Linked DNA regions of Mus musculus: regions 2 and 3 are each reported to be linked to region 1. Evidence: microRNA targets listed by miRTarBase, many of them from high-throughput screens and not tested one by one. Region 1 holds a microRNA gene; each other region holds the end of a gene's coding sequence.
Evidence for each region. The annotated mature microRNA mmu-miR-344c-3p reads UGAUCUAGUCAAAGCCUGACAGU and lies in region 1 at 1,052-1,074, opposite strand. An mRNA with a match to its seed (bases 2 to 7 or 8) in the 3' UTR can be bound and repressed. Matches are read on the target gene's strand: a 7mer-m8 pairs with bases 2 to 8, a 7mer-A1 pairs with bases 2 to 7 and ends in A, and an 8mer does both.

Region 1 (3,242 bases):
AACTTCTGATACTCTTTTTCTTTTCTTTTTTTCTTTTTTTATTAGGTATTTTCTTCATTTATATTTCCAATGCTATCCCAAAAGTCCCCGATACCCTCCCCCCACCACTCCCCTGCCGGCCCACTCCCACTTCTTGGCCTTGGCGTTCCCCTGTACTGAGGCATATAAAGTTTGCAAGACCAATGGGCCTCTCTTTCCAATGATGGCCAAGTAGGCCATCTTCTGTTACATATGTAGATAGAGACACGAGCTCTTGGGGGAGGGGGGTACTGGTTAGTTCATATTGTTGTTCCACCTATAGGATTGCAGACCCCTTTAGCTCCTTGGGTACTTTATCTAGCTCCTCCATTGGGGGCACTGTGATCCATCCAATAGCTGAGCATTCACTTCTGTTTGCTAGTCCCCAGCATAGTCTCACAAGAGACAGCTACATCTGGGTCCTTTCAGCAAAATCTTGCTAGTGTATGCAATGGTGTCAGCGTTTGGAGGCTGATTATGGGATGGATCCCAGGGTATGGCAGTCTCTAGATGGTCCATTCTTTCATCTCAGCTCCAAAGTTTGTCTCTGTAACTAATTCCATGGGTGTTTTGTTCCCAATTCTATTAAAGGCAACAAAATGATAGTAGGTAATATATCTAATGCTATATTTCTTTGTCTAAGAAGGCCTTGGAAGACAGGTAAGATAGTGGTCTGGAAATGTTAAAGGTTGGCCTCTCAGGGTATATCAGTGGGTCATGTGAGAACTATCCCTACCAGAGCAGTTCTTCATAGTGGGTCTTACCCTGGACTGTAGGAATAGAATATACCTGGTATCTGTCAGAAACTGACTGGCAAATTTTATAATCATTTTTGAAGTTGATGAAGGATCCCAAGCCTGGAAAAATGGTGAAAATTTTAAAGGAGAAACTGGCTTCACTGCGAGAAATATATTTCCTGTATAATAAACAGGAGCCATGGACTCAGAGCAGGAAAGGAAGTCCCTGCCTATGATATATCTCCACTGGCTCAGTCTCCTGCAAGAGCAGTCAGTCTTCCTCTCTGGAGCAGTTTACTGTCAGGCTTTGACTAGATCAGGTACCAGCTGATAGCTGTACTCTAGCCAGCAGCCTGACTGAAAAAAACCCTTGCAGAAGAAATTTTTATTTGCTCCCTTTGCTTCTGATTGGAGGAATGTGTACATGCAAATACAGAATGGATTAAGAGCCAATCAGGAGAGAGATCTCAAACATAAGAATGCAAAGCACAGCCTGGTAACCTTGGAGATTTCCATTAGAGCTGCTGATTCATTTATCTCTCCCTCCTCCCTGTGTGTTGCCACAGAAACAAGGAAAGTGAAAAGGGAAGCCAGGAAAAAAAAAAAAAACACAATTTAGCCAAAGCTCTTCCTCCAATTAACAATGCACAGTACCAGTATGTGATGATGGAGGCTTATAATGTCAGGGGCTGCTTGGAAATATATTGTGTATATATAGAAGAAAGCCTCAGTTTCTGCTTCAATTTTTCTGATTGTGACTCTGGGATATGAAGTGCAGCTTGCTACTGACTTTTTGGTCTCTTCCTGTGTCTGCTTCCCCCACTGGTATGAATATATTCTTGAATTATACTACATAATATATTCATAGCTATTGAATTGTCTTATTAAAATCTGCTAGGACTGAAAGACAGAAATGCTACTTTAAAACACTGCTCCAAAATAGTTACCATAATGATTGTCATAATGACAAAAAATAATTTTAGAAATTGTTACCTCAGAAATGCTTAAAATATACATATATTTTCAAAATTTCTCTGTGAATATATGTAAGATATTTGTGTTATTGTGATTATACATTAGGTTTGAATGCAGGTAGGGCTTTCTTTTATTTATTTTTTTCTTTCTTAGGTGCAGTTGATAGTCATAATTTATGAAATCCATTCCATTTTGCTACACTGTATTTTACTTACAATCACCGCTATTCCTATTCCACCAGAAGGTAATATATGTTCTGTCTCTTTAATAAATCTGAGTTCATTTAAGGCATTTGTCTGTACATGGATATGGCACCATCTACTGAAAAATTGTAGTCTCTCAGGTAAGGATACCTGAGAAAAATCTGACTATTCCACCAACTTATTAAATACCAAAAGCCAGCCTAATACAAGTGGGAATTCATGAGTCCTGCTTCTAGTCATCCTGGGATTTTGGCTGGATGTACATAATATAAGAATTGTGCATACAGTGCAGTTGATAGTCATAAAATGTTTTATTCAGGAAATGATTTATGAAATCCACTCCATTTTGGTACACTGTATTTTACTTCCAATCACTGCTATTCCTATTCCATCAGAAGGTAATATATGTTCTGTCTCTTTAATAAATCTGAGTTCATTTAAGGCATTTGTCTGTACATGGATATGGCACCATCTACTGAAAAATTGTAGTCTCTCAGGTAAGGATCCCTGAGAAAAATCTGACTATTCCACCAACTTATTAAATACCAAAAGTCAGTCTAATACAAGTGGGATTTCATGAGTCCTGCTTCTAGTCATCCTGGGATTTTGGCTGGATGTACATAATATAAGAATTTTGCATACAATCTCTAATGATAGAAATACATGGTTGCTATTGAGTATACATATCTATTATATAGAGATTCAATGTAGGTGTGCATTATTTAAGATAATATTTAACTCCAATGACTGGATTTTGCTAAACATTCTAGCCTAGCTGGCCCTCAAAACCCAGTGATTTTTGAGTCCCTAGCTCATGGTATGAGACTGCATGATACATGTATGTATCACTGCTAATACATGTATGCCTGTTGTTTTTTAATTTAATATGAGTATTCTGGAAATAAACCCCAGATACGCATATTCCCATGATATCTGAACCATCTATCTGGATCTGCATATTATAATCTTAAAGGCAAAAAAATAGCATTATAAACATAACTTGAGGACCACACTGTTGTCCATGCAATATTTTTTCTTTCCTCGTTCTGATTCTGTCATTTGGACTCCACCAGTTTCAAATATATTATTTCTGAAAACTGAATGAAGTTTGAGGTAACAGGCAGGTGACTGTGCCTCACTTATGACCCCCACACATATAATGGTACAAGAGAAGCACAGTGTATTCTCCTGTATAGTCCATCTCAGACTTATTCAAAATCTTCATATATTTAAATGGTATTTTCCTATAGGTTCTATTTAAGTATGTCTTAGAATTTTATACTCTTAGAGACTGTTTGTTATGTTAGAC
Region 2 (3,121 bases), not on the chromosome of region 1:
TGAAGAATCACTCAGGACACCATTTTGTATGTTTATTACAACTTGAGGTGAAGTCACAGGACACTATTTACAAACCTCACATGGGGAGGTTGTCAAGGCACAAAACCCGCATTATGTTTACACACACACACACACACACACACACACACACACACACACACACACACACGAGGGGGAGGGAGATCTAGTTTCTGTCCTACCAAAAACGAGAGAGAATATATTTAAGTACAAAGGCCTACCCACAGTAAGCAGGGGCACTGTCTGTCTGCAGGCGACGTTTGCACTCTAACAAACAGATACAGTACAGGGACATCCAGTCATGTTTACGTTCTGGGTGCCGCATCCTGTTCTTGAATACTTCTACAATTCATAGAATCTCTTATTTCCCTATGAGCTGCTTCAGCGGCCAGCCCCAGGCTGGAGGTAAGCATGCGTTGGGGGCCACACATGTCACTGGGACCTGGCTCTGGAGCTTCTGCACCTGCTCAGGCACTGCCACAGAGCCATGGGGCTGAGACAGTAAAGTGCTCCAGTCGGGGAGACTGGCACATGAGAATGGAGGTCCTAGGAGGGGGGCATGGCCCAGGACCAAGTATGTCTTTGGTGTGTGTGTGTGTGTGTGTGTGTGTGTGTGAGAGCCATGGTTGCAGTTTTAACACCAACTTATAATAACCACAGGGCCTCATGGGAACCATGAGCAGGCTCAATACATCAGGAAAGGAGGAGAATGCCAAAACAGCTTTCAAACCACACCAAATCTAACGAAGCTGGGAAATGTATAAGGATATTTGGAATCAGATGATCTCAATCTAGAAGGAAGCTTATAGGTAATATACATATACATATAAACACACACAACCACGCATATGCACACACACACACACATGCACACACACACAGAGGAAAGTATGAACAAACGGATTTCTCTACTTCATAACATAAGAAAAACCACTGGCTTTCTACAGGCCAAAAGCAAACAGTCGTTGGCACTGCTGACTTGCGAGGAAACTCATAAAGCTTCCTGAGCAAGCTGCCTGACGTCTGAAGTTCTCAGAAGTGAGAGGGCTTGCCATCCCCACTCCTCCCATGCTCTTTCCTCTTGGTCCTTTTTTGTATCTCCCCTGGCTGTCTGCCTACACGTGTGCCGTTTGTTTTGGGAGGAGCTGGAGCTGGGCCACAGCTCTCCACAGGTTAGAAAGTGCTCCTCCACCAGGCTGTGCACTTCCAGTCCTGCCTGGTCTTGAAATAACTGACCAAATGTCTGGGCTGTGGTCCTAAGGGGCAGGGACCAAGAAAGAGCACCTCACCCCCACCCCAGACACAAGTAAGCCCAACAAGATCCAAGTATTAAGAAAATGGAGAGAGCAAAGCAGGCAGACATCTTGTGGAAGACAAGTGCTTTACTCGGCATAATGGAAGCTTCCTATGTCTGGGAACTGATGGAAGTAGAGCCAGCCCCTAACTCAAGGGAATAGAGATGAAATTCAGGAATCACAGGCCAGGTGGGGTGAGCAGGGCTACATCCCAAGAAGCATGGAAAAGGATCACCTGAGCTCCTTGCTCCTGAAATGACCTGGCCAGTCCCCGAGAAAGCGTGGGCTCCAGCTCACCTGATACACACAGCAAAGCAGAGCCTGTGGCGGCAGCAAAGCCAGCAACCAGTGGAGCTAGCGGCTTCAGCAAGCGGTGTGTGAGCCCACGTCCTCTCAGGATAAAAGAGGCAAACACAGCCACCGCAGTGCAGTGAAGCGCACGAGAGCCCTTCCCGTGAGTCAGCTTGATTGATGGAGCTGGGCACAATCCGGGCAGCCCCTAGCCCTTGCTGACACAATACACTTGAAGATACCCTGGGCTGAAGCTGCGCATCCGTGTGGAGACAGACCGAGGGGTCTGAGGAGTTGAGGGAAGCAGGAAAAGTGTGAATTTCTGCTACAGGAGCAACTGAGCTAAGGAGGTAAATATTTACAAAGTGGAAGTGGCGTACCAGAACAGAACCTCTGCCGCTCGAACTCATTCCATTTCCTAAGAACTGTTTTGGTAGTAATAACTCAAAAGGAAACTCAAAGAGGCCATGGCAGAGGAGAGAGGGCAACACCATACTCTTCCTGTTTAAAAAATTCTGTACAGTAATTTCTAAAAATAAACTAAGGCAGCCTTATAAATCAGCTGGCTCAGTTCCCACTGCAGGGTTATGGAATCCTCTGAGTAGGTAGTGGGTTAAGAATTTGAGTATAAAAATCATCCATAAATTGGCTAAAAAGCTTTACTTTCTGAAAGAAAATGAGACAAAAAAAAAAAACCCCAAAAACAGTTATCAAAGAAAGTGGGTTTAAAAAAATTAACACGCCACATGTAAACACCTCTCTTGCATATTTCTCTGTTCCTAGGATCTGTACATTAAAAAGAGAAAAGCCCTCCCTTGTTTACATTCACAACAAATATTTACTGAAAACTCGGCCATGTGGTGATGAACAGAGGTTCCGTTCACATCGACACAGTGCAGAGCGCTGTCCATGCTCAGCACATCTCTCTGGGATAGAACCACTGGACACACTGTCGCAGCACCAAGAGAGGGACATGACGCGTGGGGGTTCTCCCAGTCTGAACAAGAGCCATGTCCGCCACGTATCCTGGCTGCATGTAGATCCTGTCAATGCCTTCTCCATACCAGACGGAAGATAAAGCGTAACAGTTGTAAGATAACCATTTGAGGGTGGTCTTCAGCCTCGCGGTAATCATTTGCAAACACCTGCAACAACAGAAGCAGAGTTCTTAGCAACTCTCTCGTAATCTGGAGAAGGCGCGTATGCAAGGCAAGAGACATAGCCCATCTGAATTGCAGGGAGACTCAAATTCCAGGGGGGAAGGATGTGACATCATGGAGTACAAGTGTACCGAGTGAACTCTCCATCACTGGGGAAACAGAGCGAACAGAAGACCAAACTATTCCAAAGCTATCCCGGAACTGTGAACCTTCACATGGGTACTGGACAGGAGCCACGCCAGGTCACTGATGATTGGTGTCTCAGGAGACGTGACTGAGGGTGTGGGAGGGAGCAGAGGAAAAGAAAAGAATGAACTTGGGTTTCTGTACTGCCAGCCACGTTCACTGATATTTAGA
Region 3 (3,121 bases), not on the chromosome of region 1:
TTTGTGTTGTATGAATGGTTCCTGGTTGTCTGAGTTCTCTGGCTCTTGGAGAAGCCTCTTCCAACCTCCATTTGCCACAATCCTTCCTGAGGTAGGCTGAAAAACTTTCTGGGCCTCCTGTCCATGTGCCCTTTTCCTCTAGCTGACTTGAGTGGGTTTTGATCTTACAACATGTGGACCACGGCTGGGGACACATTATGCATTTTCTCCCTATGGTGAAGATGGGCTTTGCACTCAGGGCCCAGATCCTCTGCTTTAGACACAGTGAATGGCAGTGAGCAGTCCCAGGACAGGATCAACCAAGTGCCTGAACGAGCTCACTGGCTCTGGGGAAACAGGGATAGGTACCCGCTGTGTCCTGTTTTCAAAAACGACAGATGCCTGAGTTTTCCAGACCCTGACATGACAGTCATTCCAGAGGTCTATTTTTATACACACAGAGGCAACATCAAAGACCAATCCGAAGATAAAAATACATTTCTTTTAATTGGTCTTGGCTTTGATTTGTACCAACAAGCCCTGGAAACACCAATACAATTTGATGGTAAACAAATAGCACTGTGGCAGTTAGAGAAAACACAGACCCACTTCCCAGGCAGGCGACTGCTTCCCAACCCCCCCTCATGCTCCTTCCTGTGCGTGTCCCAGCAGTAGCCTGGCTGAGGCAGGGAGACCACCGGTGTGGGGCCAGTGTGGGATAGGATACATACTGAGACATTATTATTATTTTTAAAAAGGAAAGAAAAAAAAGTTAGTTTGAAACCAAATTGTGCAGAACTGACCACATCCATACTAAGGATGGAGATAGTCGCATCAAACACTAACTCGGTCTGCCCGCACTAAGATTTGCTTCTCTGGACTTGAAGAAATTTAACAGCAATTTTACTTGAGAATCTGCATCCAGGACCAGGATGCCATTCTAAATGCACTCCTTCATGGAGTGGAGCCTTCCTGTGCTGTGCAGGAATTGGTCCAGGCATGGCGACGCCCACCTGTCAACCTAGCACTGAGGTCTCACCCTCCATCTTGGGAGCAATTTTGGTAGGAGATGTGCTTTGACTAAGACAAGGACACTCACAGTCCCCGAGGATGGGCGGCCATTGTGAAAATGGTGTGAGGTTGTTTTCTATTACTGCTACCTGGTGTCTTGCTCTACACCACTGGGCTGTATGACCCTCTTGGCTATATTAACCTATCTTTAAAACAGAAAATGGCTGGGTGCACTCAACTTTTTAAATAAGAAGCTAGGCATCTGCTGCCACGACCTTAACCTTCCTACACAGGTTTTAGTTTTGAATGTAATGGTCAAACTCAGCACGCTGTAACCATGCAACTACAAGTGACACTGCACAAGACCTACTGTGACACAAGCAAAACATCATCTCCATTTTTATGGCCTAGTGATATACTTTGTGACTGAGCAGGCAGAGGACAAAGTCACCACTTGGTTCCTTCCGGGAATGGCATTCGGGAGTCAGTTGGTTCAAGACTTAGAAATGGAGCCAGACGTGGTGGCGCACGCCTTTAATCCCAGCACTCGGGAGGCAGAGGCAGGCCGATTTCTGAGTTCGAGGCCAGCCTGATCTACAAAGTGAGTTCCAGGACGGCCAGGGCTACACAGAGAAATCCTGTCTGGAAAAAACAAACAAACAAACAAACAAACAAACAAACAAACAAAAAAGACGACTTGGAAATGGACCCCGTGACTGTGTGGAGCAAAGCCGGGGCAGGTACCCGAGCTTTGCGATCCCAACAGGAGCGAGCTGCAGTCCTCCCGAGGGGCAGCGGGGTGAAAAGTAGGGCTCCAGCACAGGGTGCACAGAGTAGGACATACTTGGGGAGATCCTGCGCACAGTAGGCAAGCTCACAGAGCTCTGAGTGCTTGAGATGCAGGGCCTTGCCACTTCAAGCCTGCAGCGCCTAACGGTAGAAGCAGGAGCTGCGCCTCCTATTGTGCTTAATCCCACGGCCTCTCCACCTCTCAGACCCAAGGTGGTTTCCTTAAATAAGAGCAGTCGCCACGTAGGCTTCTCTCTAAAGAAGGAGCCAGATTTGCTTTGGTGGAAGTCTGAGCAGCTCCCTGGGTTCCGCACTAAGCAAGAAGAGCTGTATAAAACCCATGGAGGCAGCTAACAGGCTTCTACTCCTGGGCAGCCAACTTCCAGGTCAGGCAAGAGCTGGGGTCCAGACCCTACTGGTGCAGTCAGGGAGGCCCTGGGAAAACTGTGCTAATGTGGGCAGCAGCCTGGGGGCTACTGGCCCTCCTGAAAAGACACTTTGGGCTTGCTATAGAGGTAGGAAGACAGGGACAGGAACAGGCCAGGCAGAGGAGGAGAAGCCTCCGGGAAAAGTGGCTTTCCCCTACCCCCCCACCTGTCTAGCCTCCTGCTGGTCACCCGTAGAAAAGCTACACTATTGCTCATTCCATTTCAGGAGTCAATCCCAGGAAAAACAGCCACATGCCCGCAGATGGGCCTGAAGCTGCCATGCTTTCACAAGGGACAGAGACTGCAGCCACCCAGAAAGGCGTGCAATCCACAGTGGTGGTGCAGCAATGGGTATGGAGGAGGGGGCTCCGTGTACCAACAGCACTCAGTCCTCAGTGAGGGTGTGCGCAGATGTGCACCGTGGGCTGCAAGCCTAGCAGGAAGGCCTGTGGTCCAGGTTCAGAACATCTGTCCCACTCATGGGTATTTGTAAAGTAATTAAAAAGCCCAACTTTAAAAGTTATAATTTATAGAACATCCGGTATAAAAGCAGGCTTCAGAAAGGGCTTCTGGCTCTCAGAAGAAGTCCGCAGCCCTTGGCCTTCTCTTTGGGGTGGTGGCTGGTAGCCTCATGGGCGACAGAGGAGTGCTGGCCGGGGAGCTCGTGGCGGTCTTCAGCACTCCGTGGAGTGGCCTCTGCTCAGGGTTAAAGGCCACTCTGGAGAGGCCTGTGGGGCTGACCAGGATACTCTTGTCTGTCTTCTTAAATTCTGTCCCAAAAGAAAGTGAGGCTATTTACTCAGTTTATTTAGTTGGGTGTCATGCCTGTCCTTTCCAGGTACACAGGGCTCTTGGCTTATATTCCCAAGGCCCCTGAAATGCAGGAGACACCTAAGATACATCAAAGGGAGCAA

Region 2: miRTarBase lists Bcl2l11 as a target of mmu-miR-344c-3p. Seed matches in the 3' UTR shown: 7mer-m8 at 182-188.
Region 3: miRTarBase lists Rrp1b as a target of mmu-miR-344c-3p. Seed matches in the 3' UTR shown: 7mer-A1 at 1,581-1,587.

What each region holds. Positions count from the first base shown.
Region 1 is chr7:61,836,272-61,839,513 of GRCm38, forward strand. It overlaps Mir344c (microRNA 344c), which reads right to left and starts at 1,131; the gene lies at 1,040-1,131. The region is part of intron 6 of A230057D06Rik (RIKEN cDNA A230057D06 gene); the gene reads right to left.
Region 2 is chr2:128,157,859-128,160,979 of GRCm38, reverse strand. It overlaps Bcl2l11 (BCL2-like 11 (apoptosis facilitator)), which reads right to left. Exons shown (of 4, transcript NM_207680.2): 4 at 1-2,749. The coding sequence ends at 2,651. Among named protein-coding and RNA genes, the nearest start is that of Gm14009, 10 kb to the left of the region's middle.
Region 3 is chr17:32,060,204-32,063,324 of GRCm38, reverse strand. Rrp1b (ribosomal RNA processing 1 homolog B (S. cerevisiae)) reads right to left here. Exons shown (of 16, transcript NM_028244.2): 16 at 463-2,977. The coding sequence ends at 2,784. Among named protein-coding and RNA genes, the nearest start is that of Rrp1b, 26 kb to the right of the region's middle.